4 linked regions of the Lepisosteus oculatus genome follow. The protein of the gene in region 1 binds, or shares a complex with, the protein of each later gene. Links are inferred from orthologs where the notes say so. Each region holds a gene or a part of one and is shown on either strand. Other genes may lie near its edges.

Region 1 (7,702 bases):
CTAAAACAAAATAAGTCTGTGATTGCCCACCAGAAGTCTTCTACCAATATGAGCACAAAACACCCTACTGATCCTCCTTCCATATCCTTGCCCTTAGGTTTAGTAGAGGAAGTAGTATCGTGCCTTTTGCTGAAAATAGATCCTGAGTTTTCAAATTCACTGGATCCCTCTTCCAAGCCAGATGGGCTGCCAAGGCTTCAGTTTAGCCAGATGGGCTTGCATATGATTTACCAAACTTTGGCTGCACAGATGAATGCCCCTGGGGTGTCTGTAGTCCAAGAGGAGGGACACAACACCACCTTTCCACCACCTGACAAGATTAAAAATGCTGTGAGCTGCATTTACAGAGAACTTGTCCAGAGAATGGGCTCAAAGTTTGACCTTCAGTTAGCAGTGGCTTCCCAAAGCCCGGCTGTGTTCAAAATGATGATAGCACATGTGACCCGCGAAGTCTTAAAAATGCTGGTTTCAGGGAGCGAATGTTCCAGTCCGTGTATCCTTTCCTCGGGGCCTGCTGGCACTTTTGACCTGGACCCAAAGGAATCTGAGATGAGCTGTGACAGAGGCACAGAAGAACTACCTTCTGAAAAAAGCTGCTGCACAGCTGTGAAGGAGGCTGTAGAAATACATGAAAGCTGTCTGCAACCTACCAGCCGTAGTGAACTTTCTAAATCAGACACCTTTTCCTCCACAAACCTGAAGAGTCACTCTGGCCAGAAAGCCTCCTGTCAAGTGGGTTCTGCAGCTGTCGATGTTGCCCTGGATTCAGTAGCCTTTCACAGTGCAGCTCCAGGCTCCGTCCCAGCTCTAAAGGAGAACAGCTCAGGCTATGCCATGGCTGCTGAACCACTGTCGTTCCGGGAGAGAGCAAGAGATGAAAAGAGAAAGCCTGGAAAAATGAAGGAGGAGGCCAAAAAGGTAAGCACAGTCATTGTTTTTCTTTGCCCTTGTGCACAAGCCATCCTTCGGATACAATAGGCTGTTCCTCAGAAAGTTTATGATGATCTGAACTTTAAAAAGGACTATAACATTTTGTTGGCAGCATGTGGAGAAGCTGCAGACACAGTATAAAAAAGTTTTTGAAGTTTTACATTTCTCTACTTAACTACCCAAATGGCACACCCCAGTAACTGATGCATAGCCCCGTAGTATTGAGGACTTTTGGGTAGGAACTTAATACAAAGAGCTTTTCCTGGTATTGCTTGTGTTGGAATAATCTAACCTCATGTTCTTTGTCTATACACAGGCCAGCCAGAAATCTCTGAGCCTTGATAAAGGAACACAATATAGTGAGGCTGAGGGCCACCAAGCAGGTGAGTCCCCCAGAAATGATAGCATGTTCCACCCGGTCATTTACAGATAAATGGAGATTGCTCATCATTCTATGGAATGTTCTCTTTTTGTTTAAAAATCGATGTTGTTATTGTGGAACTTAACAACACTATAACAACTGAATGAGTGAACTGATGTTTTTAAAGTGCATTAATGATTTTTTTATTTTCAGCATAAACACTCAAGCTTTCTATTGAGCAAAATGTTAATATGGAAGAAATGTTCTGCTCTCTCTTTTCAGATTCTCCATCTCCTGCAGTGGAAACTAAAAAGTCCAAGAAGAAACGTAAAAACGTCTTTAAATTATTCTCACAGGCAATGAGGAAACTGGTTTGTGTGAAGCCAGTGTTGGATGATTGATCTTCACAAGAAGTCGTATTTTAATATATACAATATTTTAGCATTTTTAGGAAACAAAATCCATTTTTAAAATTTAAAGTCACGGAATGAAAGAATGGGTGTGAGGCAGCAGGAGTCAATGGCCCAACGTCATCAGCATGACCAGAGTCATTAAGGACAATCTTTCAACCAGATGTTTGAAGCAGCTTACAATGATCCGTACATGGTGTATACTGTGTTGGGTAGGCAGTAATATATATTGTAATTGGTACGTAATAAAAAGGGATTTATGAAGTATGACTGTCTTGTGTGGTTTGTTGGTGCAGTCTTGGTTCTGGGAGATATATATCTATCCTTTTGCAAGAGAAAAGGGTCCTAACATCCTTTAAAATTGTTAGAAGGCGTAGTTGGCTATAAAAGCAATCAAGGTTTCTGCATTGAAGGTTCACCATGTGTGACACTAAAGCATGCCTTTGTATTGCGGTAGGAAACTCATGTGAACACAGAGAGAACATGAGTAAAAGCCAGGCAGATAGCAGCCCAGGTGTGGGACAATTTGAAACATAAAGAAAATGGTTCTCTCACCACTGATCGCAGTTATATTAATGAGCAATTTTAACACAGGATTACTTACCTGTTATGTCGACATGCAGTGTTGGTTCATGTGACACTGTCGTGGTAATATGGGGATACCGGGGTCTGGCACAAAGTGGGTCTTGATGGCTCACTCCCTCCCGGGTTCTCTGCACGACAAGACAGAAGTGCTCGTGGGTGAGAGAGAGGTCTTAGCCTGCGTTTGGGCACATGAAAGGTGGGACATGTACCTGGCCATACATGCAGACAGACCACCAGGCACTTACAACACTGCTCTCTACAACAGGCACTGGCCACCCTAAGCCACAGCCTCTCTTCAGGAACTTCAGCAGACCTCAGGACAGGACCCAGTTCTTTCCCAGCTCCACACTTCCATATACTCGGAGTGGCCCTCCAAGGTCTCCACTGACCTGAGCCCCTTCCATCATGTTAAAGATGAGCTCTCCTGCTGGAATGAGTCATGTGTCATTTGGGGCACCTGTGCTGTTATTCCTGCCTGCCTTTAGGTGCGAGTGTTGCAGATGGCACACGAGGGCCACTTGGGAATAGTCAAAGTCAAACAGCAGTGTCTGGATCTGGTTTTGTGGCCAGGAAATGACAGAGACATCGAAACACTTGTCAGGTACTGTGAAGCCTTCCTCCTGGGACAGTAGGAAGTAGGAAAACAGAGAGCCCCGCACCACATCCTCTCCAGCCCCCAGACTGGCCATCCGAGCCCTGGGATCTTCTCCAGCTGGACATCTGTGGGGAGCTGCATGGTGTCTTTCCCCATCACAGTTTCTTCATCATGGTTTCTAATTTGCTCTTGAAATGACTGGAAGTGGCCTCCACTAGATCGGTCACCACTCAGGCAGTCATTGACTTCCTGGATTCCCCCTCTGCCCACTCTGGTTTTCCAACCAACATCACCAACGACAATGGGCCGCCATTTGTGTCCACTGAGTTTGGCTGACCAGGACATACGACACACTCGTAAGGGCCTTATACAACCCAACGGCAATCAGTGGGGTGAACGACTGAATCAGACAGTCAAAAATGGCATCAGGGCCCAACTAGCACAGGCCTGCTCCTTCCCAACTGTGTTCCTCCGCACCCTGCTCCACTATTGGACTACGGCCACAGAACTGGCCATTATACAATATAAGAAGCCCAAAGTCTCTGAAAAAAAAGTGCTTAAATGAGCAAATTTTCACTGTCTAAGACGTGTGGGAATGCTAACCCTAACCCTAGCTGGGGTTTCAACAAAGCAATCCTGCAATTTGTTCTTAAAGCCCTTCAGTCATCAGATTTGAAAATGTTTCCCAAACCAAAAAATATGAGTCTTAACCAAACCAAACCACTGAAAAAGGCCATTGGAGACTTGTATTCTTCAATAATGTGTCTTCTTTAGGTACATTTTCAATCTGTGGAATGGATGGTTTTGATACAAGCATGCGTTTCAGGTCAGTTTAGGGGTTGGTTTACAAGAGCTATTAAGTGTTGACCCAATTTTTACATCTACTGTATACAGAAAATTCAAGGTACTTAACCCTCACGAACATTTTGATCTTACTGTTTTATCTTTTATGTGTATTCCTATCTTACTTCCCAAACTTTTTTTTTACGATTCTCAAATAACAAGTTTCGTAATATATGCCAAAACTACCTAAAAAGCAAAAATTTAATAAATAATGCATTTGCCATTAGAAAATCTTGGTATCTTTACACTTGAAACATAGATTTCCAGAATTCCAGCATGATAAAGGTATTTTTACTGGGTGGGTAGTCTTTGACTGAGCAATGTAGCATTATAGGAATAAGTAAAAAAAGAGTATAAATGCACTCACAGGTGAAAGTTTCTGCTCTTCCCAAGTGTGAAACTTACCTGTGACATTGAGTCTTAAATACAACATTGAGAAGAACTATTGAGACTTGACGTCTGATTGTATATGTATTTATTTCTTAGCAGTCATCCAGATTGAGATACTACATATGAGATTTACATTAGGTAAGGAGAAGGAACAATCACGTATTCTCAAGAAGAATAAATGTAAATGAATTTTAGGCTATTTTTAATCTGCAAGAACAATCTATGAATAGTTTCAGACAAAATGAAATACTGTATAAAGAGTATACAAAGCAGTCATGAAAAGAACCTGACGTGAATAAAGACCATAAAGGAAATCACGCTTTCAGCTGAGAATTAAGAACAATGCGATTTGGATGAAAATGAATAAAGGGAAAGATGAAAAAACATTTTAGTCATTTTATTTTGTTAACTGTTTGTAATGATAATATTCTACCGTTTAGTGATAGTTTTTAATGTAAATATCTGCGGGTGCAGGAATAATGAATGGTTTTCTCTTAATCGAAGGTGTGACCATCAGCCAGATCTGACGTAGATACTCACGTGTTCGCAGGTGGAACGCCCCCTTGTGGTTAATTCGTCACAGCACAGGTAGTGTCGGGCGTTTTGCTGCCGTTACGCGCTTTGTTTCTCCTATCCGCTCCGAAAATCCAACATGGCGATGCACACCAAAGTAACTCCTCCGCAGATTCCAGATACACGCAGGGAGCTGTCGGAGCTGGTGAAGAGGAAACAGGAGCTCGCGGTAAATCCTTTTTTTTACATTACCGTCTTTTAAACCGTTTTTCGAGTCGCCATTGATCTGGGTAAATGTGTAATTTTGCTAGAGTGTTCTAAGCAAAACGTCATGTTTACAGGCGTATGTTGCTGCACTTGTATTGCGTTCGTTTGAGGAACGTACGTAACCGACCTTAGTGAATAGCAGCTCCGTCTTGTGCCAAAGAAGTGCCGGGTGTAGAGGCCGTGCACTCCGGTTAGCAGATTTAGGAAAATCCGTTTATTGTAAGGCTTAGAGGCCTTTTCTACACCGCTAATGTTAGTTCCTGGCGTGAAGGAAGGGGACTCAAGTCTCGGTTCTGTGCTTTGGATGTAGGCTTGTTTAAGAAATAATTAACGGCTTTCAGCAGATTAAACGATGACTTCAAGCATTCAATTTGGGAATTTAGTTGTTACGATACATAGTAAGGTGATGTTAGCATCGGATATAGCAGCTTTGCTTGGTGTGTGTGGTAATGAGGTCGGCATCATTTGATATCGCATCATCCTGACAATTTTAAGTATAACACGGCATTTACCTCAATGTAAACTAGTTACCTTGGTGCATAAATGAAATAGCACTTCATAGCGACTAATGCATCATGTCACAGACGAATGAACGACGAGGAATCTTGTTACATGAGAAATTCCAGATCTTTTTAGAATTATGCAACATTGAATGGCTCTCTAGTCGCGTTGTCAAACCCGATACCTTGGATTCTTTCAATAAACGACAGGATGAGGTCGGATCAACAGCCTGCTAACAATCAAACACGCTAGACGAGAGAGGAAACCCTTCTCCCGAGGAATGTTATCTTCTGCTTACACCCAACCCCAAATATAACGACATTGCGTGGATTTCAGTAGCCCTTAGCTTATATTGCCCCGCTGGAGGGTTGCTGTGGAATTGTAAGACGCACATTAGCTGGCGCTCATTTCCCGCCCCGATCCTGCAGGAGACGCTGGCGAACCTGGAGAGACAAATCTATGCGTTTGAAGGCAGCTACCTGGAAGACACTCAAATGTATGGCAACATCATAAGAGGATGGGATCGGTACCTAACCAACCAGAAGTAAGATCGGTTCAAGTCTTTCTTCCGATAGCGATTTTGTGCTAAGCTTGGCTTTGCGTCACTTTTTTAATACCTTTTAACCTCTGTTGCAGAAATTCCAACAGCAAAAATGACAGAAGGAACAGAAAGTTCAAAGAAGCAGAGCGGCTCTTTAGCAAATCATCTGTCACATCCGTCGCAGTAAGTTAAACGCTTGTATTTCATATGAAGTTAGCAAACTCGTCAGGTTTCTTTAAACGTAGATGGAACATACTTCATATATTGACGAGATGTTAAGCCTCTTGTGAAATAAAGTGATGGAATTTGTTTGAGTTCTTAACATTTCATGCTTTTAACGTTTGTTGTCCCTGTTTCTTTTCCAGGCGGTTAGTGCTCTAGGAGGAATACAGGACCAACTTATAGAAAAAAGTAGGCATTATATTTCTGTCCTTGTGCTCTTCACAGTCATCATTCCTATCTGTAAACACGACTCGGTAGACATCAAGGATATTTGTCATTTTCATTAACACAAAATGCACAGCTACAAGTTAGATAAGTCTAGATCGTTCCTATTTGATTTCTGTCAGACCAGCCAGCAGTAATTCTGTGAAGCTCTTTTCCGGGTTCCAGAGGAATTTGTCTTGCCCTGTAAATGTCATGGGAGCCCCTGTGGTGTGGTGATGTGCATTGCTGCTTCACAGTAAGGATTTCCTTAATTTTCTCCCATCAGGGGAGCCAGGCAGTGGAACGGAGAGTGACAATTCCCCGGATTTCCAGAACCAGGAGAACGAGCCCAGCCAGGAGGACACGGAGGATATGGATGGGCCCTTGCAGGGGATGAAGCCCCAGAAGGCTGCCTCGTCCTCTTCTGGCAGTCACCATGGCAACCACAAGAAGAGGAAAAACAAAAACCGGCACAGGTATCCACTTGTGATGTGTTAAAACTTTTGTTTCACTTAAGCTACAGTTAATGTGATCATTGTAATGGAGCTTTTGCACAGTGAGACCGGTTTCGCAAAGGTCATGCAGGGAGAGTGTGGAGAAAGAGCTAAAACTTTCTGTCAGAATTATTTAATTGTTTAGAAAGCGCAGACTTTAACTTTGTCACAGACATTTGGCAATAATTTGAGCATATTTATTTTTTACGTTTGAAAACGTAGTATTCAGTGTGTTCTATGAATGCTTCAAAACCAAAATTGCGAAGTCTTTTTTTCATGTAAATTTTATATGTTCTTAAAATTATTTGCAGCAAGACATGACCTTCACCCCTACTGTAAGCAGTCAGAGGATTAGTTGAATGTTGAATTACTTGCTGAAATAATTTGACGTATAAGTACTGGCAAAGGTTCTGAACAAAAACGCACATGGGTCAAAGTATTAGGAACCCCCAAACAATGCCATCCACCAGGCATTCAACTCTGCTGTGTGAACCCTGCTAACATTAAAATCTGCTTGAACAAGACATGGCATGTATTCTGATCTTGTCCGGTATCCCATTCTTCACCTGCTTTGCCTTCAGCCAGGATTGTCAGACTGAAGCGTGGGATTATAATGCACCAGCCCTTTTTACATCTGGGCATTGCCCTGGCCAGTGGGTATAGCCATGCATGTCCTGAGACCAAGTGCATACTCCTTTAACTAGGGGTTCATAATATTTTGGCCAGTGAATATGATAAATACATAGATGTACATTGTTGTTACAGTATACAGTTGAGGAGATGATTTAACAAATAAATTAACGACTTACTAGTGATCCTTAACTTAAATACCTTTTGTTTCTCTTA
Region 2 (7,655 bases), on another chromosome or scaffold:
ATGGCAATTCTCTAGCCATCGGACCCTGCCTAGCAATTTGGGTGCCTTCAGTTCGGCGCACAGCCCAATTCGCGCCGTGCCTTCCTGGAGCGAGCTCTGTCGGGTCGATTGGTTCCCCCTCAAAGGCAGCCGGGCCCGGCGGTACCTTGTGAGCTCTGGCTGAGGCGCACGGAGGCGCGGGTCAGGCGCGTGTTCCTGCGCGAGTTCACGTCGCTCTCCGAGCTGTCCGTGTGCTCCAGGTCGGCAGAGAAATCCGAGTCCTCCGTCCCATCAGAGCTGCTCCCTGCGTTCCTCTACACCAAAAAAAGCATGGTTAGCTATACAGGTATATCCACCACATTCCCATTTTTGAGTTTTAAGAACTTTATTTTCTTTTCACAAATACAGGGAATCACAAAATAGAGAGCTTTACATTAATATACATACTTAAAACAGTATATATGATCACATCTCATTAAGTTTCAACACAGTAACAGTTACATAGCAACAATTTATCTTGTTCCGATGCAAATCCCACTCTTTACTTTAACATGACATCGTTTTTCACAGCGTCTTGAGATACTGTCCTCTGCCCTCTATTTCCCACAGGTTTTCTGCTTCCTCGCTCCCTTCTCTCCACACACAGTTAATAGTTCTCTCGGGTAATGGACAGGGCCAGGCTACCTGCTGCCTCGATGCCTCGATTTACACTGGTTGGCTTGGTCAAATGGCCACCTCTTGTTTGCTATATTTCTTGTGTTCTAATCTGAATGGAAAGCAAAATCCTCATGTCACCTCCTTCAACACTGCGGTCTCTCAGTGTCACCATACTAGGGCACTAGTTTGGAAATTCTTGTCCAGAGGTTAGTGTTACCTACTGTACAACTGCCGTAGCACAAAACATAGCACCTGTTTAAAATGGATGCACGATAGTGAGAGAATAACCCGTTTAAAGAATTTTGCTTTAACATTTAACATGAAGTGCCTCCTTATGTCACGGTGTCTTCAGACCCGAGCGCACAGGGCGAATTTCTCTTGGGTTCGGTCGATTCGGATCAATGTTTTGGGTGTCAGCCTCTGCAAGATTGCCTAAATCTTTCCAGCAGCTATAATTTAAACACATTCTTTCGTCATAGTCGGACTACCGCTGCCCTGTTAACCCAGAACTAAATTTTAATAAGTGACCAGAAACAAGAGATAGAAGCCTGAATTTTATGGTTGTAGCTCCTGAACATCTATATTCAGAGCAACAGAGCGAATGTAAATATGCAACGATTTATATATCCGTTGCCGCTCAACTGACTTGATGAAATAATTATAACAAAATAGTTGATCAAACCCAGCCAAACCAAGAGATCTAGAGATATGCGTGGCGAGTCTACTGTATGTTCTATACAATTTAATTTAAACCATTTTATTTTTATTCCCACATTCTTGGCCAAGCCCACTGCGACATCCGCATTGAAAACAGGTTCCATCTCGCCTTGCCTAGGAATAAACTAACACATCGCCCTGTATTAAGTACGTGTGGTGCAACTGGAATTTGTGACCGGTTGGTCTCAAAGAGTAACAACAGTACATTGTCACTAATGGAGTGAACCGAAATACTCAGCACAATGGGATTGTGGGTAGCGGTTACCACGGTAACCGTGTAAACGAATATGGCCTGCGATTTACTCGCCAATAGCGTACACAAGAAAGACACTCCCCTAATCCGAGAACAAGGATCGAGTCCAGAAAGCCCCAGCGGAAAAGCACTTATAAAGTTCCGCAATTACCAACGGGTGGAGAAAGGGAAGTTTTCCTTCTTTGTTGTGCCAGTGCGTTCAGAGTCCGCAAATTCAGAGTGAATCATTTCACGCTGCAAAAGGTCCGCACAACTCACACAAGAAGTATTCTCCCAAATACAGAGGGGAGACTTCACGTCATGTTTACCGACTGTAATCTGTTTTTACCTTTCCTTACTGAAATGCACAACTTGTTCAGCTAATGTTTGGCCGGAAGAGCAGTATCCTTAGCAACACAACCCCACCCGGATAGATGTGGGCGTCTAGAACCCCCCCCCCACACTGTAACAACCAGCTGCTGGGAGCACAAGAAACACGCTGCCTCCGGGAGCTGCTCACTTCCGCCCGCACCGATCCCAGAGTGCACCTTTTGCATAGATGGGTTAAACGAGGTAGAAAACGCTCAGGACAGAAAAAACAAACGTTTAGTGGTCACCAATCACGAATTCCATAACTTGTGCATCCTTTCCGCAAAAAACAAACCACCACCTACTACAATAACGGAACCCCGCTTACTCCATAACAAAGGCTCTTCCTAGCAAAAGGAGCCAGTTACAGCGCTCCAAAACACACCGACCAATCAGGAGAGATCGAAGGCGGGAGTAATCCTTGACAGGCAGCCTCCAGCACCAATGAACAAGCCCCCCAGCCCGCAGATCCACCAATCCTAACACAGCTGGCGGAGGTTCCGTTCTTATCCTCAGGCCCCGACTGCAGCCTCGGCTTCTAGTAGTTTCCTCAGCCGCGGGGGCGCCAACTGCGACCAGCCGAGCAAGCCAAGATGGAAGCCGACGGGAGGCGTGTTTTACGATTTTCTTCAAAATATTTTGAATCCCCAAGTTGTTTTTTGGGTGGAAATGCCTAAATGTAAGCGTCGGCGAAGACGAAACGGGATACAATTTGCACGTAAATTCCCCAAAACAAGGCAACCATCTTTAACACAGCCCTGACAGTCCTGAGGGCTGTGCAAAAGGCTTTTTGCCCATGACCATTAAAAATAAAACAATTCAGGCGTCTTCAAAGACAGATACATTCTTACCTTCCTGCGGGGCATACTTCGTTTGGCGGTAGTGCGGCGTTGATTTTGCGAGGGCAGCAGTGAATCTCAAGGTCGATAAATGTTGCAGGTATTAATGGAAAACGCGCCGCGACTTCCAAAATTCATATGTACACAGAAGAGACTGGCAGGAACTCGCGCCACACACTGGCCACAGCTTCCCCCCCCCACCCGCACTTCCGGTCTACTGTGGCGAGGGGAGGGGACTCACGTGATTAGGTCTTGTTTGTTCGGAATCTCGGAAAGGAACATCGAGAGGAATATTTAGGCTAGAGCGACCTTGACGTAGTACATTAGGCGGCCATCTTGGTAGAGGTAAGACGAATAGGGGTGTATGTTCAGGCAGGTGGTTACTTCTTGGCTCAGAAAAAAATTTTAAGTCTTAAGTGAATATAAATTCGTGGAAAAATGATAAATGGGATTGTGTTCCTGAAGTTAACTATTATGTTGTATTGAAAACACGTCTGTTTTTAAACATAGGTACTGAATACTGCTGTCCCAGGGGTGTCCTTTGTACCCACAAATGGATGTTGTTACTCCCAAGTCTTTAAAGTGACAAAAATAGCACACTTGCAGTAGGAGTAAAAACACCAGAAACCCAAGTCGTGTAGTGAAAATGACATTTTGGTAAACATGCTTTACAAGTCCAGATCCCAGAATTACCTACTCATAGCTCTACATTTGTCCAAAAAATTAGGTACCATCATCTATTTAGGCTAAGATACTCCATCAATACTCTCAATTCCTTCAAGCATCAGCTGGAAATATTTGACTTAAATATACTTATAAACCTACACGTGTGATCATGTATTGCCTATCCAAAATGTTGTGAATGTGTTGTTTGTGTAACAAAACCTATGTCTTAAGGAATAACTTTCATCTTCAATACATCATTTTGTTTACTACACATGCTTTTCTATAGAAGGTGCTGTCTTTTTTTCTTGGCCTTAAATCTGAAGCAAAATTACAAATATCGTCATTAAAGCAAAAGAACGAACAAGACGACTTATAGAAATGATTTATTTTAATTTGTATATACACACACAATTGTCTTTAATAGAGTAAAATCCCTTTTCAATCAAGATAGCAGGGCAAAGCCTCCAGTGCAAATAGTCTGAAGGGAGAATCCAGTGGTGTGTATTAGTTATGAAGATTAATGGAAAAGCTACATGATGCTTGGTTAGATATGTGGTTCACAGGACAAGATGCTGAAGTTAAAGAATTGCAAAGAAAGAGTTTTCTTTTTCTTATTTAATCTGTTTGGCCTTTTCTTTAGTTACCGTGAAGTGATTTTCCTTTCATATCTCCCCATACAAAAAGCACAGGTGTTTTAAGTCTACAAAGACAGAACCCTTCTATTCAGTTCTGAAATCGGCATGTACAAAACCACGTTTGGACATATGAGGAGCAACAGTGGTAGTTCTAGCAAGGTCCCATTAAGATGGTGCAAGTAAATTCTTATGTAGCACAATCTTTTAAACACATCCCAAATGCACTTTGAAATACAGCATCTCCCTTATGCTTATGGGTATGAACAAGATGTTCTTGTCATACAAATTATCTACTGGAATGAAAATTCCATACCTTTTTGTAAAAGTGCACTAAATAAAAAAAGAGCACCAATTTTATTATGAAGTTACACTTGTTGCATTAATGGTAACGGATGTTTGATCAATATTTTAAAACCGTAAGCAAAACTAAAGCACATTGGCACAAAGCTGGTTCTTTGCATTTAGGTTTTATTGAGATTTACAGCAATAATAAATGGGGTCTAAATCAGTTCTTGTTCAGAAGGCCACAAAAAAAGAAGCCTTAATGCCCCCTTTTGAAGTCAAAGATAAAACATTAATAAATTCAATTTCACACTACTCAACTAAAAAAAAAGTGCAAATTTACAAAATCGTACGGATTTTATGCTTACAGGCAGACTGCAAGTATCAAGGGATTTATAAGTGGACTGTATAATTGAACTGTGATGTTGTGATTCTCTGGCTTGTTTGCAAGGATAGAGTACAATTAAAACCAAACCCGCACAAAAGGACAAAACAAATGCTTTTTGTAGTTCACATTTTCTAGTTCCAGAGAGAAATGTGGTTAGTGCTTCAGTAAAACATTCCTAGAGAACAGTTCTCCCTGGTTTTTCCTCAGTTTACAATTCACTTTGGGTCAAATAAGTGTAAAAATCCTCTTCTGTACCAGACAGTATTGCAAGGCCGAAGACAATTAGATTTTGCTACCTTGTGTCAGCATCTACAAAAGTGTGCTTCTTTTTCTAGAACAGCTGCTTCATCACCGCCATCTAGCCCTTCATACGTTTCTTAAAACAGGTTTGTCTTTTCAGGGTGTCAATTTCATGCTCGTCTGCAGGGGGCACCACAGTAGCCAACAAGAGGCAGTGCCAATTGGAAAAGCAGCATGATGTCTTCGCGAGCCTGCAGGCACCTGGCCAAGCAGCAGAAACTCCGCTTGCCAATGGTTTGTAAAGCCCCGAGAAGAGTTCGACATCATCCTCCTCCATTATGCTATTATCTCACTGCATAGAAAAACTGGGTTTAACAACGCGTTCTTTAAAACTAAATTTCACTTAAAATCAATTCTCTTGAAATCTGAATCCTTTTATTCCAAAGATGTGGGGGTGAATCTAGTTGCTTTGAAATGTCAGTTAGTGCAGAGCACACAGGCAAGGGCCCTTGATCTAATGAAGTGGTCAGTTTTGCAGAAATCTAACGTCACTTTTCAGGTCACAGCACATCGTTAAACACAAAAAGGTACAGGCTTGAAGCTCCTTTAGTGGAGCACAATAAAGCAAGTCTTGCAAAGCACAAACATTCCAAAAAAAAAATCATTCAGCAGGTTCCAGCTGATGTCCCCCATTTTAAATCTGTTTCCACTTCATCGCAGACCCCCTACCAAATAAACAGTATTTGTCACAAATAACAGGTCAGTTATGTCTCATTGTACATTCCCCTTCCCTCCTTAACACGTTGCCGATTATGGAGGGTGTGGATATGTGCTGCAGGCCGAGAAGAGATTTACAAAGTGTTGTGGTTTAAGGCTCTCTCCCTCTCCGTGAAGAACATATCCCAGGTCAGACGCCCATCCCGGACACACGACCCTCCAGCGCCATCGCAGGAGTATCCAGAGGGGCAGCAGTGTTTCTGATCGTCGCAGCACACGGCCTGCAGAGACACCACCGCTCGGTCAGCTGGAGCCCAGAAGAGCTGAACAGCACAAGCGCACCCAGTGCCACCATACTGCTGCAGCCTCACTCATCGGCCGAGTGCGGGGAATTAAAAATTAAGATGACATGACGTCCCCACGCGTACAGCATTTTAACCGAGGTCTTGACTCTCTGTGGTCAATTAAAATCCCAGGGTGTTTCTCGAAAAGAGTAGGGGTGTAACCCCGGCGTCCTGGCCAAATGTCCCATACCAATCATGGCCTCCTAATAATCCCCATCTATGAATTGGCTTCATCACTCTGCTCTCCTCCCCACTGAGAGCTGGTGTTTGGGGAGAGTACTGGCGCATCATCCAGGTGGGGCTGCACACTGGTGCTGGTGGAGGGGATCCCCATAACCTGTAAAGCGCTTTGAGTGGAGTGTCCAGAAAAGCGCTATATAAGTGAAAGCAATACTGCTGAGCAATTATGTTTGATTCGTGGGGAATTAAGGAAAAAGGTCCCATCTTTGGACAGTAATGGTAAGCAGCAGAGGGCACTGCAAATAGTGCCTGCTAGAAGAGAATGCACAAGAACTGCTCCAGTCTGAGGTGATGGTTTGACTCAAGCCCTGGGACACATGGTTTCCCCATGCACACATAAATTTAGCTCCATGGTGCACCATGTAAACTGGAGAGCTGTTTGGCTGGTAAGCAACAAGCACCCACATTCCAGTAAGGTGTACCACTGCGATGGTGAGATGTCATATTGACACTCCTTTTAGACTAAGGCCTAAAACTGCACTTTAAAGTTTTTGAAGTGCTAAAGTGAAAGCACATGTGCACAAGAACATGAACACCTTGCACGAATATATATCTACATTGTTCTCACCGTGACTTTCTTACACAAGGGTATTTCAGAAAACAACTGCAAGTCATTTTCTTTACATTTATAGTTTCCTGCCCCTCTCCTCCTTGCATTTGCACTGGAGTGCGAGACACGGAAAATGTTTGGATACTGCAACTCCCGAGATGCGCTCTGCACTGGAAGTGTCAGGGTACCTTGGGGAAAGGGCAGCAGCCCCAGGAACTGGAGGAGGTCCTGCAGCAGGTCTGCGAGTCGGGGCAGCGATGCTCCTCATCGCACTGCACGTCCCTCCTGGGGCGCTGCTCCGAGGGGGACACGAGGACCGCGGGGAAGCTCCGGGACACCCAGGGGACGCCCTCGTGGCGCTTCTCGCAGGTGCCGGCCTTGATGTTGCAGGAGTAGCCCTGTGGGCAGCAGTGCTCGTGATCCGAGCAGCACACCCCCTGAAGCCAAAGAAAGCGCAGCACGTCGTCAGTGGATGAGTCGAACATGACCCTCAAAACGCCCACCCACAGGTGAACACAAAAATCAAACACGTTAAAGCAATATTAAAAACAAACTTTAAATTGCATTGGTATCAAAGTGGTCAATTATCCTTCAAAATTGACTTAATTATTTATAGGGGACGGGCAATTTAAACTCCTCTTGTGGTGGTCCAGAACCTGTAACATGGTTAACACTATTCTGAAGCCCCCCATATCATTACTGGATATCACTAGCGGGTAGCCTGCACATTCTTGGCCAGAAAACAACGTGATCAAAACTTTTACACTAAACTTCAGATCATTTGCAGCTGGCAAACCTTT
Region 3 (6,882 bases), on another chromosome or scaffold:
CAGTTTACTGCTTTATCATAAGCCTCATGCTTTTAACAGTTACAAATCATTCTGAAACAAATATCACTATGGTGAAATGACATATTCCACCACATTAACATCGCCCTCTCTGGTATGTTTTGTCAGATCTTCTATAAAAACATTGCATTCTGTAAAAAAAATAAGAATATTAAGTAATGACACTATGTTGTGCATCAATGATAACCACAGTATGAATGGCACATTCCTTTTTATTTTAACCAACACACTGTATTTCTATATCATCAGGTTCCTTTGACAACTTAAAACAAGGTTCTTGGCTAGTTCAACTACTTTGTGACATATTCACCACATGGTGCTATTACCTTCGTAAAGTACTATATAAATTTTTTCAACTTCTACTCAGTAAAGTGTTTAGCTGAAAGTATCTGCAGTTATTTCTTTACTCTTTGAATTATGTATATTTGAAGCTCAAGGATTAAGAAAATGTTTTTAGTTTAAAATGAATTTGGAATACTATCAAACATTCAATTAACACTGTTAATTAAGACGTCAAACACTACAGTATCCCGAAACACAACAGAAATATAATTAATATAAACAGGGACAGCATTTGACAGGGTGAATGGGTAATAAGCTATGAATACAGATTCCCTCTGTAGAAATAACTCAACTTTAGCTCCCTGCTGAAGCAGTGCACCATGTGAACACAAAAGTAAACTTTTCTTCAGTCCACATTTTCACTGATCTATCAAAAGGGGATCCATTACCAGACTAAGAAAAGTCAGTCTACAGCCTGGCTGAAACAAATGCAATACACTGCCAGTGGTTTTACTGTCAGGGGATAGGAGACCACAAGTCATAACTCAATCTTCACGATTTATGAATATATACAAAACAGACTATTTTTGACAGAACTTCACAATAAAGTGTTTTTTTGTCTCATTCCTCTATATACAAAATATACTTTCGTAACTACCATGATGCACCTCTTCTAAATCATTGTGATATGAATACCTGATATGAATTGAGGACCTGTACATTGATTCTCCTTTTTATAGCTCTGCACTTGTGTATAGTATGGTAATAAGCACTGTATAGCACTGGAGGGACTGTATGTACAGCACCAGTTTCAACCGAGTTCGTCTTAGCATCTTACATGTGATTGGAGAGTATCGTATTCCAAGGCATTTACTGAATAACTTAGTACTGAACAAGTATATAAACATCATATTCTAACTGTGATAAGCCACATACATAACACGAAAACAAAAGCAGACTAGATTTATAAGAAAATACATCTACTGGGTAGCTAATGCACATTTACTAAACCGCACTTCTAGCCATACGTTTTATTAGTGATACCACCACGATTTTTCATTTTGCACTGAACATACGAGACAATTAAAACCTTGCATCTCACTGTACGCTCCGATTTAATTTTATTTTGCGTAATTGGCGTTCGTATTGCTATAATTAATTGACAGATGAGCAACTCCACGTTGATTGTCAACAGACACACGACTCCGTATTTTAGGGTCTGACTTATAATACCGTTTTAATGAAAAAACGAGGCTTTAAAAATACTGCCTGTCAAAAGACAAAAAGGCATAAACAGCTTCGGCATCGTATTAGATCGTGGTCTCTTACATATACCGATCGAGTGCACCAAACTCGCATACATACTCTAGTGCAATGAGAGTGGAAAGTACAACGCGATAAAAAGGGGGACAGGTACAGTACACAATCTTTGGGGTCTGTAATAAAACGCGGAATAGCCTACCTACGCAAAAAACATGAACTGTAAGGTTTCACCCGGAACTTCAACAGAAAGGTTTCTTTTTTCTCTGGACAATGTGCGAGTAAGCAAAGAATAACCCTCAAAGTACATATACAGCGGACTTTACATAAAGTCCTCTACACGTGTAGCTACTAAGCTCTTAAAATACCTGAAACGTTTAGGTTTTAACCAGGTGAGAAACGTCAAGATTTTCAACTTTTCCGGTTTAATGTTCTTTTAGGGGCACAGTGACATCATTTTGCCATAATGCTGTAAACTGGATCATTTTGACTTGGAAAAAAAATGCTACCTATTCTGCATCTATCAAGACAAAAGCAAAGACGACTGGATCAAGGTTGTTTTAATCCGCGATTGTCGTTACCTTCACCACAGCTCACCTTTATACGAAAGGGAACATCCTTTGAATAAGACATGAATCATTTTTTCTGCTCTGCCCAATGCATTGATACTGTCAGCTACCAGTTACCCGAACAAAAGAACACAAGGCCTACCTCCGTCACACCACAGACAACAACAAAAACACTGGCGAAAACACGCACTGAAATTTACCTTGCTGTGACAGTGATCCAAAAAAAGAAAAAGAAATCCAAAGTCTAGTAAACTTCACTGTATGACATTTCAATTTCCTAAACGAGACGACCAGATGGGGTTCCTTGCTTTCCTATCCCAGTACAGGCCCGGCCATGTTAGGCCAAACAGGAACTCAACCTGGTGAGGCAGAACCAGATCCTGGCAGCAGAACACTGGAAGAACCAGCCGGAGAACCGGATCAGCCCAACACCCTCACACATCTCCACTGCAAGCCAGCCTTTCAGAGCAGAGCCGCCGAAAGCGCTACGCACGTACCTACCTTGATGCCCTGAGATGTAGTACAATCAGTTTCGGTAACCAAATAGTTAAATTAAAAAGTGTTTAATTGAAGTGAAGAGTCAATTAGTTCGTCGCTTTGTCTCCCCTGCAGTTAACAGCAGCAGCTCTACAGCGTAGGACGGAAGGAACGTGCTTTTATGACGTCATAGGGTTGAAGGGTTTCCAAAATGGCGCCGTTGTAGTAAAAAAAGGAAAACAAACCCTTTTCCTGAATGCGCGGCGTCTGAACTGTATAATTACCCATTCTTTGATATTACGTTTTGCGTTTTTGTTTCAAAATGATCTTATGCCCTTTAGCCGAATGGCCACTTGCTATCACCCATATGTCTAGTGAAACAGATATTTATATTCGACATAAACTTAAGATTGATACAGTTGAGTATGTTTTGTTTTCCTGTCTCACTCGGCACTAATCTGAGGTCATGTTTTTATAGGCCAGATTTGCGCAGCCAGCAGAGACGTGCGTTCTAGGAGGACTCCTGCGTAACGTCACTTAGTTCCACCCGGAGAAATCTGTGCAGATTTTGCGCAGAGCTGAGAAGTTCCTGCAAGAGACTGTCTGCGGCAGTGAACCAATAGGATAACGCAGAGGTCAAGAATGACCGGCATTTTAATCGCTCTCGAGCAAAACTACCGGCAGTTGCATTTATTTGCATTTCGTGTCGTCTTCCGCTGTGCAGCGGTGCCGTTAAGTTTGGAATAGGTTGTTTCTGTAGTTTAGTAGTTACCTTTGACGTCAAGTATATAGGATCCACAAGCGGAAAGCTCGGGCGAAATGAGAACACAGCCCTGTTACACGGGGTTTCTTGACCTAGAGGGTCACTTCCAGGGGTAGGGATGCGCCATTAGGTGGGGCAAAGAAAAGCTTTGAATCTGCATTTAATTGTCGTGTTTTTAGGTTTTGTCATGTAGGAGTCTTACTGCAACTATGTGAAATATCACATCTGAATACTTTAAATTAGATGTTGTAAACATCATAAAGACTGGTGTAACTTACCAGGTCAAAAGAGCTAGAAGGATATCTATTGTCAGTCAATGGAAATGAAATGCCTGCTATTACTGTTAAAGCATATAAATACATTGGTCAGTTCTAGCCCACTTCGGTATTACGCTTCAAGTACTGCATTCTGGTGAGATTTATTTTTTATAGAATGCATGAAGACGGAAAAAAAACGAACATCTGATTAATATGTAATACAGACTTCTCCAAATTTTCTTTCACTTAGTTTGTGGTTTTATATACAACGCTGAAAACAAGAGTGCACGACTCTACCAGCGACAGATACAAATGCGTTATTAAATTAACCAAGCGTTTTCGTTTTTAGAGAGCAGGATATATTAGTACTTGGTGTTTCCGATATTACTCATACTACCACTACTACTCCAGCGTCTTTTCGCATCGGAGATACACAAAGCAACTTCCTGACCCCACACAGACGTACAGTCTTGAGAGGCGTGACTGCGTCGTGCGTGGCGGGTGGGCCCTCCACTGGAACCGCATTGTTGTTGAGGAGAGAGGCTCGGGGCAGCTGCTGTTCGATATTAGAAAGCGGACACTTCGCTTCACGAATGGTCCTTTTTAGTAAGAACGGCGCGCTGAGGACAGAACTACGTTCCAATTCCGGACAGTTGTCGCGGAGCCCAGTCCGTATTCTTCAAACTAAGAGCTGGAATCTGTGCTCGAGCGGCGGCCGTTGGATGTGATTGTGCGGAATCACAGCCGCTCCGCAGGCCACATCGCCATTGCTTTCAGCTCCGCCGCTGTCTGGATAACAAAACCTTCGGACCAGCGAGGTATGGGCGTCTTACATTGTTACGCGTAGAAATCCGTCTTTCGCGGAGGTGAAATCCACCCTGGAAGGATGAGGATCGGTTTGCGTGTGGCCAAAAACGAACTTTTCGTGCGAGTACTTCGGTTTCTTGTTTTGTTGGACGCCATATTTGCGTTTTCTAGTTTTATTATTGTGGACTGTCCCAGCACCCCAGGCCGCTGGGAGGCTCCGCTGGAGCGTCTTGGTTTCAACAATAGCCTCAAACTGCACACCCAGTCAAAGCCAGCGTATGTGGTTCGTTGCGGGTGAGGTCCTAGCGGAGTCGGATTAAAATAGTTAACTCCAGGGTGTTGAATTCCCATTGATTCAAACAGGCCCGGGAAAGTGTTTGGTGCAGTGACGTCACAGGCCCGGGCAGTGTTCCAGTGCTACAATATTTCTTTTATACAAGTTCCTGATTTTGGCAGTTAGGTAACAAAGGAAGTTCGGTAAGCTAATTGCACCCATTGTAAGTATGCTTCTGTTGTGTTGAGAAACTTTTTTACTCTGTTTTTAAGATGTTGTCTTGACGACACAAATGGCGTGTGTGTGTCTTTTATGTGGTGTATAAATTGCACGTCTGAAAGGTGTCAAAATGCGATTAATGTTTCTCCATAATGGTGCAAATCCTAATGAATTACTTCTGGCAGCTCTTCACGTTACCGGGGTTTTTATAACAGAGCGTTAAAAATGTGGTTTTATTTTAGTAAAAAGTCTTGTGTGTGCAATTTCGAAAAGTACGTTTAATGATGATTGAAGTCCTATTTATTTAACCTGACTCATTTGTAATGAATGGTAGTCTTGTTTTGAAGGTAAAATGCTTTGGTTCGAAGGTTGGTTTCACCGTAGACGTATGTAGTTGTGATTTATTTTTAGGGGAAATGTCTGTCCCTCGAAAGGTTGCCGACTTAGCATTGTGTGAAGTAAAGCCTTTAACCCCTCTGCAACAGCCCCACTCTTCTGCAGACGTAGGGTTTTCACGAAATTCAGTTCTCCTTCCGTCAATAGATCCTGTTTACGCTGGTTTGGTGAAAGTAGGGAACGGATAAAGTTAAGTGCAAGTTTTGTTTTCTACGAAAATAATCAGAGAAAACAACCGAGACTGAAACCAAGAGCATAGTCTTGGGGGATGTTACAGCTGGAACGCAGTTTACGTTGTTTGGATGTATATAATTAAGGGTCCAGGTTTTAGATTAATCGATAGATCAAATGAGTTCAGTATAACGAAACTGGTATCTTATTAAGTGATCTAAAACCAGCAGACCATTGGAATATACAGTGCTTAAAGAATGTCTGGCGCAAGACCGTGTTCTGCGTCTATTTGCTTTTAACTGTATTTCCAGACAGTTTTGACTAAGTCATATCTCCTTAGGGAGATATCGACCTAATATCATTTCTGAGACATGTCCTCAGTCAGGGTTATCATTAGAAGAACAGTTTGTGACAATTGAATTTGTGAAACTGTGGTTTGAAAACAGAAGTAATTTTAAACACTAAGTGTAATTTGCGGTTGGTACATTGGAGTAACAAGCTGGAGCAATGGTCCGTGAAAATTTTAGTATTGGTTTACTTACATTGCTTAGTGTTGTTTTTTTCTTCATTTTTCCAGGTCAGTCAATTTCCAACAATTCTTTTTATCAGTATTTTAGTTGCAACCATAGGACGATCTTTATAATCTCTGTCCATTTAAGTTAAATGTTACAATATGCTACAATCATTCATTATTTTTGCCATTAAAAAGACGGTCTGAGAGACCCTCTTACATGCAGCTTGTTAAAATATAAGCTTAGTTGATGTAAAGATTTTTATGTTTTCCTGTTTAGATTATATTTTTTAAGACATCCGCTCTTCCAGTTTCAGTTGGATCTTATACCAGTTACAATTTAAGATTTTGTTTTAAAAAAGTTCAACTATTCATAGAGCAGATCAAGAATACACTGCTCAAAATAAGATAATTCTATGTAGGCAAACTCAGTGAAGTTAATACATTTAAGCATAAATCCTTGAAGTGTCAGTACTTTTTCTTCTGTCAGGTATTATGCAATGTGTATCTTGCCAAATATTTTCCAGAGGGGAAAAACAGCATAGATGCACAGGTTGTAGCATGTAAGGGTGTGTTGGTTTGTCTTTTAAGTGACATATCTGGCTGCCAAACATGACAAGAACCGGAAGATGTAATGGAAGGGACAGAATAGTTGGTAGTAATGCTCCTGCAGTTGTGCATGTGCCACAGATGTTGCTGAGGGTTCAGTGATATTCCATGCTATGGTATTAGAGAAATTTAAAGCCTTACGTTTGTAGATGTATTAAGAACAAGTTTTCTTGCCATGAATTTGCTTTACAGCACAGATAAATAAATGCTCTTTCAGTGGTGGTCCTGAGTTTTAGTTTTTGTATAACAAAAGCAGCAAGTTCTTTAAT
Region 4 (6,889 bases), on another chromosome or scaffold:
CAACATGCAGATTTGAGAGGAATCAGTAACTACCCAGTTCAATTCCCAAGGCAAGAGCGACTTTAGAGAGCCACTACTTTAAAACTAGGAAGACGCTCCGTGTAAGAATCCTTCTTTTTTTGCCCACAATATTTATGAAGTCGCAACCCTGGACATAACATGATAGTTTTGTTTACCACCATGTCGCAGTGGACACGCGAGCCAAGAAAAAAAAATTAAAACGACCACGTTATTGTGAATAACAAGCCCCGATTCCTTGAGGGTTTTTCTAAATGGAGAATTGTTAAGTATTTCTGCGTTAGACCCACCAGAATTTGTGGGAATCGTGTGTATCGTAAGGTGTGCTAAGTTTTGGCTGACGGCTACAAACCATGCCACCGCACACGGGAAAAGAGGAAGTCCATGCAGGTTCCTCTGGCCCGCCCACCTTTGGCACCAACAGCGCGCCACTGACCGGAGGATCCTGCCCACTGCTGGCTCACGACATGACAATGCCTGAACCACCGAACCCAACTCGCGCTCAGCCGAACCGCTCAGAGGAGGCCCAGAGATTTTTGGAGTCCAGGTTGCAACATATTCCGAGAAGGAAAAAACAAACTGATCACCAAAAAGCAAATCATTGATATTTTCACTAAAAAGGGGGCGTTAAACAGTTATATCTGTGAGCTGTATCCAGAAACTTCAAAAAAGAACATATAACACAGTAAACCTCAACACTTAAGACGCTTGAGATGAAACTGTGACATATTAAGACTCGTTACCTAAATAGAAATTGGCCACGCTGTCTCAATTTAGTACACTTCGTCACATTTTTCTAGTGGTGCTTTTTTAACAGCAGCAGCCCAGTTACACCAGCCACCTTGAAGAACCGGTCCCTTATTGCAGCGCCGTGCCAGTGCAGGACATTTGCTGTAATTATCGTTGAAAGGACTCAAGCCTGGTTAAATCTAAATGTCAATTCTCCCAACAGTCAGTAATTAGAAGTCCAACACTGGATGGTGGAATGTAATTGGGTAAACAAGAATATTTTGACAGAAAGCTACTGTCATATATTGTTGATCTGCAAGGTGTGTGTGCGTCAGCTCAGCTTTGATTTAAACTTGTCCCATAACTGAAACCTAGTGTCTCCCCCTTTTCTTTTTCAATATAATGTTTTATACTTATCAATTATATTTCATCATATTTTCTATATCAATGCATACATATCTAAAGAGAACAAATTATGTAAAAGAGATTTATGACAAAAGGTAAATGCCTCCAAGACTGTGTTTGTGAATGTTGCACGTGAACTAAATGAAATCCTGTCTGTCTCCGTCTCCTATGGGTTCAAAACTAGGAACTGGTGCTGTACCCCTGTGCAGACTACCTCACTCAAGAGTGCTTCAGGAAAAAAGCACAGCTGTGAAAACAGGTAAAAATGTAAATCTCTCTAGATAAAAGCATCAGCCTAATTAATTAAATCCCACGTGGGAATGTAAGTCAATATCATAACTGTTGGCTTACATGAAGGTTTGTAGGCAGCGCACAGGAAGCCAAAGTTATTTTGCTTTCCAAAACAAACGGATGAAAGTTGTACAACTCTGGCTGAAACCTGACCCTTTTACTCGAGCAATCCTTCCTGGCTCAAGGACTCGACAGCACAACCCCACCAGAGATCTGCGCCCCATAAATGTCAAATCATGAGCCCAGAACGCTAACGACAATGCTGCAAGAGGGCCGGAAACTGATCCGAGAATTAAACACCATGCCTCGACAGTGCTTCAATTCACACCTCTCAGAAAACATGTGGCCTACGAGCAATGCAGCTTGATTGACATCAACTGTCATTACAAGTTACAGCACGACTTTTTGCTTCTCCGTAGATGACCTATGGAGGGGAAAAAAAATACATATATACCATCCAACACTTGCCCGGACACGTTCAGAGAATCACAACAGACCAAGAGCTTCGCACACCAAATTAGAGAAACCAGTTCGCAGGCGACACAGGGATGCTGGTCAGGGCGAATCGTGATAACCATGTCTCTGACAAAGGGTTAATGACACACAAAAAAACTTTTAGTGGTTTAGTGAGGAATCTAGCCAAAACATACCACAAGTGTGTCGGAAGGAACTCGTTTTGAGTTGGTGACCATTTGCGCTCCGCTGCTGCACAACCTATTTCTGTCCCCACAACGAGTTACCATCCCCGCTCATTATATATAGAGGCTAAATTTCGCTCGGCTTGTGTAACCTAAGTGCGGTGGCGGGTTTAAAGTGACCGCCTGCCAGTTCGGAACACGTAACAGCAAACCCTAAGCAACAAAAAAAAAAAAAGGAAATGAAAGAAGGAGTCGGTGTCCTGGCCCACCCATTTACAAAACGCTTCGTTTTCTCCCCGGCAATCGAGTGGCCTTGGCGCCAAACGGCAGTCTCGCTGCATGCTCGGGAGTACGACACACAACCGAGCGAAAAGCAAACAAGGGCGCCACCACCGCCGCACCAGAGAAATCGGCACTTCCTCAAGCACACTCCACAACATCACCGTCTACCGATCTCGCAGCCCCCTCGGATCCAAAGCGGGACATCCGCCGGGCTCACCCGGCGCCGTCCTATCGCTCGCCTGCTGGGCGCCGCACTCCACATTTCCCGAAGGACAAGAGCGAAAGGCCATGCCGACTGAGGGGAAAGCAGGCCCCTGCGTGCAGAAAGCTCAGCGGGGCCAGCCAGCCTTGGCACACACCGCACTGAGAAGACACGGGCAGCATTGTTCCTGCAGCGCGCTCCTTACCTTTTCCCTCCCGGCGTGAGCGATGGGGGCTTGGGGTCCGTCTTCCCCCCGTCGTACTGCCTTCTCCCTCAACACTGACCCGACCCAGGGCTCAATCGCGCTGTTTTCTCTCCTTTTTTTCCCCCCTTTCATTCCACTCTCTCCATTCCCAGCCCTGCAATCTCCCTTCCACTCAGCAGCACAACAGCTCTATTGTACTATCAGCACTACCGCTGGGTCTTAGACTCCGCCTTTTCTCTCCCCGTTACCCTCCTGCTTGCCGTGCACTGCCGATCTCTTTTAAATCAACTTTATTTAAAGTCCTGTTGCCGAATACGACTCTTTCCATCGCAAAATCTTTTTTTTTTTGTTCACATGATTTAAGTTACTAGTAACATTTTTTTTTACAAAAAGATTATTGTCGACTACTTGTCTGCCTCTCTTTAAGAGTTGTCCCTATTTTATCATGTGTACGTCAATTAGTGTAAATATAACCACCACAAAAGACAAAAAAAAGTCCAACAATTTTATATTTTCCAACTATAATGGCACAGAAAAGTGTAAAACCTTTGTGAAGATTCTCGTATCTGTTCTTCTGGTAAAGCAGTGTGAATGCAAAGTTTATTTCTGGTCAGAACATACAACTGTTCACCCCAAAGTCACTGCCTGAAGAGATTTTTGGAATTCAGACACTACCTAGAAACATGACGTTCCCAAATAAATCATGACGTATCCACAAAGAACATCATATAAAATTGTATTAGTCAATTCCAAACAAGTTAAGTGGTTAATCTGAGATTTTTCTGATTTACATCAGTAGTTTGAAGTAAAGTCCCCGAATATTGCATCTGGGTGGGGCCTCTTACAGAAATGACTGAAATTACCTCTAAGCATCTAACACGAATGTAATAGGCAAAGGAGTTTAGGTCAGAGCATTGATCAAAGATAACCCAGATGGCATGAACTTTGAATGCAAGCAGAATAGACACCTCTACTGTGAAGACCACGATGCACCATCACAGGATCAAGGTTGCAGAGTGGTATTAATGTTGGAGTCCTTGAACCCCTATATATTAGCATCTGATAGATGGTTACCTGATGTCACGGCTCACAAGACTGTCATCGGAGAGTAAAGTTTACTACATAACAGCCAGCTCTTCAGCACGGATTGAGAAGTCTTATCTAGTTATTACAGCTGAAACTGTAACTCGGGACCTCAAAATTCCAACTGAATCACCCATCTTCTCCACCCTCCAAAGATCTTTTGGTATCGCAGTCTCAAATGGCAAGATTACAGCCACAGCATCTTCCGAGACGATAAGGGAGCTGCTATCCACAGTCAATAATGTTCCTACTTGCTGGTCTTCAGGCACGAAGCCAGTTATGTGGAAAAGTGGTTTGACATTAGCATGTTGTGCTGCTGCTGCAAGCTGTCCACTTACATGACCAGAGCTGCGCAGGCCATCATGTTCAAGAGCATGGACTGAACTCTGCACACTAGCATTTCTGTTTGTCCCCGACATCTCCCGTCTGCAATGCAGGTCTACAAGAGCATCTTAAAATTCCATGATGTTCACTTGATGAACATCACTTGCTGTTGAAAGACTGGTCAGGTCAGAGGAGCTCTGGCCTGGTCATTAGTGTACTCCCGCGCTGAAGGACGAGTGAGTTACACAACTGGCAATAAAAAAAGATGTTCAAATCAGGAACTAAAGATGATGAAGTTCCCCACCCCTCTTAATTTGCTGAAATACATTTTCTTTTACCAGTAACTGTGAGAAGTGGAGGAACAACCACATTTAGCAACATACAGGGAGAATTTAAAAGAGGACATTTAAGATGGGCAGCACATTTCTGGCCCATGGAAAGAAACCAAAACACTTGGGGAAAACCCACATGGACACAAGGGAAACGTACATATGCAGACACTTTACAGAAGGTACCCCAGTCCAAACTTGCACTCAGGACCCCAAAAGCTCAGACGGCAGTGCTAATCACCATGGCACCCCTTCTTGACATAGTGAACTATCTAGATTCTTTCATTTGTGCACATTCTAATATCGCTGATCTTCGAGAATCCCTCCCCGCAAAATTAATACTGGAATCTTAAACACATTCTGCCACAACGTGAACATAACAGATCAGGAAGGTGTGTTGTTATAATCACATTTGACATTTAATACTATAAAATTATGTATACAAATATGTAACATTTAGTTGTACAAAAACTTTTTTTTTTAATTAAGTTTACAGCTCTACCTGGTCACAAAAATGAGCCACACACTTTTCATATATTTTTTTTTAAAAAGAAAACTTTTAGCCCTTTCAGTCGAATAATAATTTTCCTTTCAAAACTGCCGAGTACATCACTATGATACAGAAAAGGTCACTAAAACAGCATTTCAAACTTAATAGGCTTTTGCGAGATGGATGCAAGACATTCATTTAAATATAAATTAAATATTTTACATGTTAGTGTAATGTACATTCTGTACTTGTATTCGTGAAAAAGTACTAACCAGTGATATTAAAAAATTAAGACATTGGAAAAAAATATGTACTGGAAAACATGATTATGACAAAAAAGCATCCTTCTCACACTGTATTCACTTGAGATCTGACAAAAAACCTGTTACAGGCATCACAATCTTCCCCCTTTTTAAGGGGAATTTAAGATGAAATCATTAATAACCAGCAGTATCTCACAGATAAAATGTTGAAGCTTAAAATAAAATCCAGGTTTTTCACAAAAATATTTACACAAACATAACTATACAAATGTTGTATGAAATCCAAAAGCCAAAAAGTACTGTGGATGATTAGACGAAAATTGTCTTTTCTCAAAAATATGCAACTACCAGTGCACTAAACATGTCATTTGCAAAACACATTTCAACAATAATAAATAATTTGAGTAAGCAAATTTTAAAAAGCGATAAATTGTGTTGTCACCAATACATTTCTATCCACAATGTAGCAATTTACATACATTTTGTTTGAATTTACCTTAATTACTGTATCCACGTGAAGAATTTTGTTCATTTTGAGATACGTCCCTAATTTGGTCCAACAATTACAAGTATAAAATAGAAAGGGCTAGACAAAACAGACATGTCAATATTACTGCACATACAGATGTCAATAATAGAATGTTAACTCTTTAAGAAGAGCTAATGTTAATCTACATTGTTATAATATGTGCGGCTTTGGTTATTTCCGAATAAAAATCTGTCACCAACCTAGAAAATTTTACATGGTCGCAGACTGATTAAAACCACAATACTGCCAGTTTTAGAAAAGGTGATACTTTAAAAAAAAAAATACACCCGAGGCCTGCAATGATTCGCAGTCTTCACATTCCCATCTGCATGTCTGCAAAGTTGAAGAAATTGTCTACATCTCTTGAAGACGAGTTCTTGCTTTCAGAAACGAACACCTAGGGGAGTAGACAGCAACAATATGATGACCTAACAGTCACCCTCATCTCAGACAACACACCCACACCCTTAGATAGCAAGTGGATTGATGTTTCCCAGAAACGGTAGGAGTGCTATAAATATTTCTTCCAGATCCCAAACTGCACAACTTACAGATTTGTGCTATAAAAATGTACAATGTTTTTAATGTACAGTGAGTTTTTCACACAACAAATTAATATTTCATATTTGCCCAGGCAATATCTACTAGCTAACTATTTGGTAGCTGTTACCACACAGTGCTGACTTACCTTGGTGCCACTGAAGACTTCATTTGCAACCTGGCGACATGCCTCCACAACGCCTTCTCCATTGAACTCCAGCGCCACCACCGGGCCTGTTCCGGAGCAAAACGAGATCAAGGGACGCAAAGGACACTCTTCACACAGAACAACACAGATGCTTGTACGCCACCCTAAATTCAGGTTTGACATTTGAAGCAGTTTTCTACCCTCTTTATCATTCAAGGCAATGATTAAAAAAAAAAGTCACTTTTCCTAAAATTGCTTTAACACCTCTCAAAGGCCTCAATTCTTCTTTAAATGCATAAGAAAAGTAAAAAAGAGAGAAGGCCTTTTGGCCCATCTAGCCTGTTTGGAAGGCAGTAATTACTGCTACTTATGCAAGAATCTCATGCAGGTGTTTCTTGGAAGAAGCCAGGATA

What was found.
Region 2: meaf6 (region 1) and kat7b share a complex: the UniProt entries of both Homo sapiens proteins name them as parts of the HBO1 complex. The link is inferred for Lepisosteus oculatus from reciprocal best matches to the Homo sapiens genes MEAF6 and KAT7.
Region 3: meaf6 (region 1) and brd1a share a complex: the UniProt entries of both Homo sapiens proteins name them as parts of the MOZ/MORF complex. The link is inferred for Lepisosteus oculatus from reciprocal best matches to the Homo sapiens genes MEAF6 and BRD1.
Region 4: meaf6 (region 1) and jade3 share a complex: the UniProt entries of both Homo sapiens proteins name them as parts of the HBO1 complex. The link is inferred for Lepisosteus oculatus from reciprocal best matches to the Homo sapiens genes MEAF6 and JADE3.

What each region holds. Positions count from the first base shown.
Region 1 is NC_090706.1:12,445,098-12,452,799, reverse strand, and holds the start of meaf6 (chromatin modification-related protein MEAF6), read left to right. Parts: upstream 1-4,691; 5' UTR 4,692-4,766; coding exon 4,767-4,856; intron 4,857-5,823; coding exon 5,824-5,939; intron 5,940-6,031; coding exon 6,032-6,119; intron 6,120-6,301; coding exon 6,302-6,347; intron 6,348-6,648; coding exon 6,649-6,838; intron 6,839-7,702. Other genes in the region: uncharacterized protein, read left to right, coding at 1-918, 1,247-1,313, 1,574-1,692.
Region 2 is NC_090723.1:8,372,096-8,379,750, reverse strand, and holds the start of kat7b (histone acetyltransferase KAT7), read right to left. Parts: upstream 3,009-7,655; 5' UTR 2,821-3,008; coding exon 2,806-2,820; intron 294-2,805; coding exon 146-293; intron 1-145. Other genes in the region: progranulin-like, read right to left, coding at 5,856-6,002, 7,044-7,292. UniProt on the Homo sapiens protein: Catalytic subunit of histone acetyltransferase HBO1 complexes, which specifically mediate acetylation of histone H3 at 'Lys-14' (H3K14ac), thereby regulating various processes, such as gene transcription, protein ubiquitination, immune regulation, stem cell pluripotent and self-renewal maintenance and embryonic development.
Region 3 is NC_090702.1:35,425,514-35,432,395, forward strand, and holds the start of brd1a (bromodomain-containing protein 1), read left to right. Parts: upstream 1-3,881; 5' UTR 3,882-4,444; intron 4,445-6,882. UniProt on the Homo sapiens protein: Scaffold subunit of various histone acetyltransferase (HAT) complexes, such as the MOZ/MORF and HBO1 complexes, that acts as a regulator of hematopoiesis.
Region 4 is NC_090710.1:21,975,177-21,982,065, forward strand, and holds the start of jade3 (protein Jade-3), read right to left. Parts: upstream 3,009-6,889; 5' UTR 2,771-3,008; intron 2,743-2,770; exon of another isoform or gene 2,094-2,742; intron 1-2,093. Other genes in the region: rp2 (protein XRP2), read right to left, coding at 6,102-6,185, 6,477-6,562. UniProt on the Homo sapiens protein: Scaffold subunit of some HBO1 complexes, which have a histone H4 acetyltransferase activity.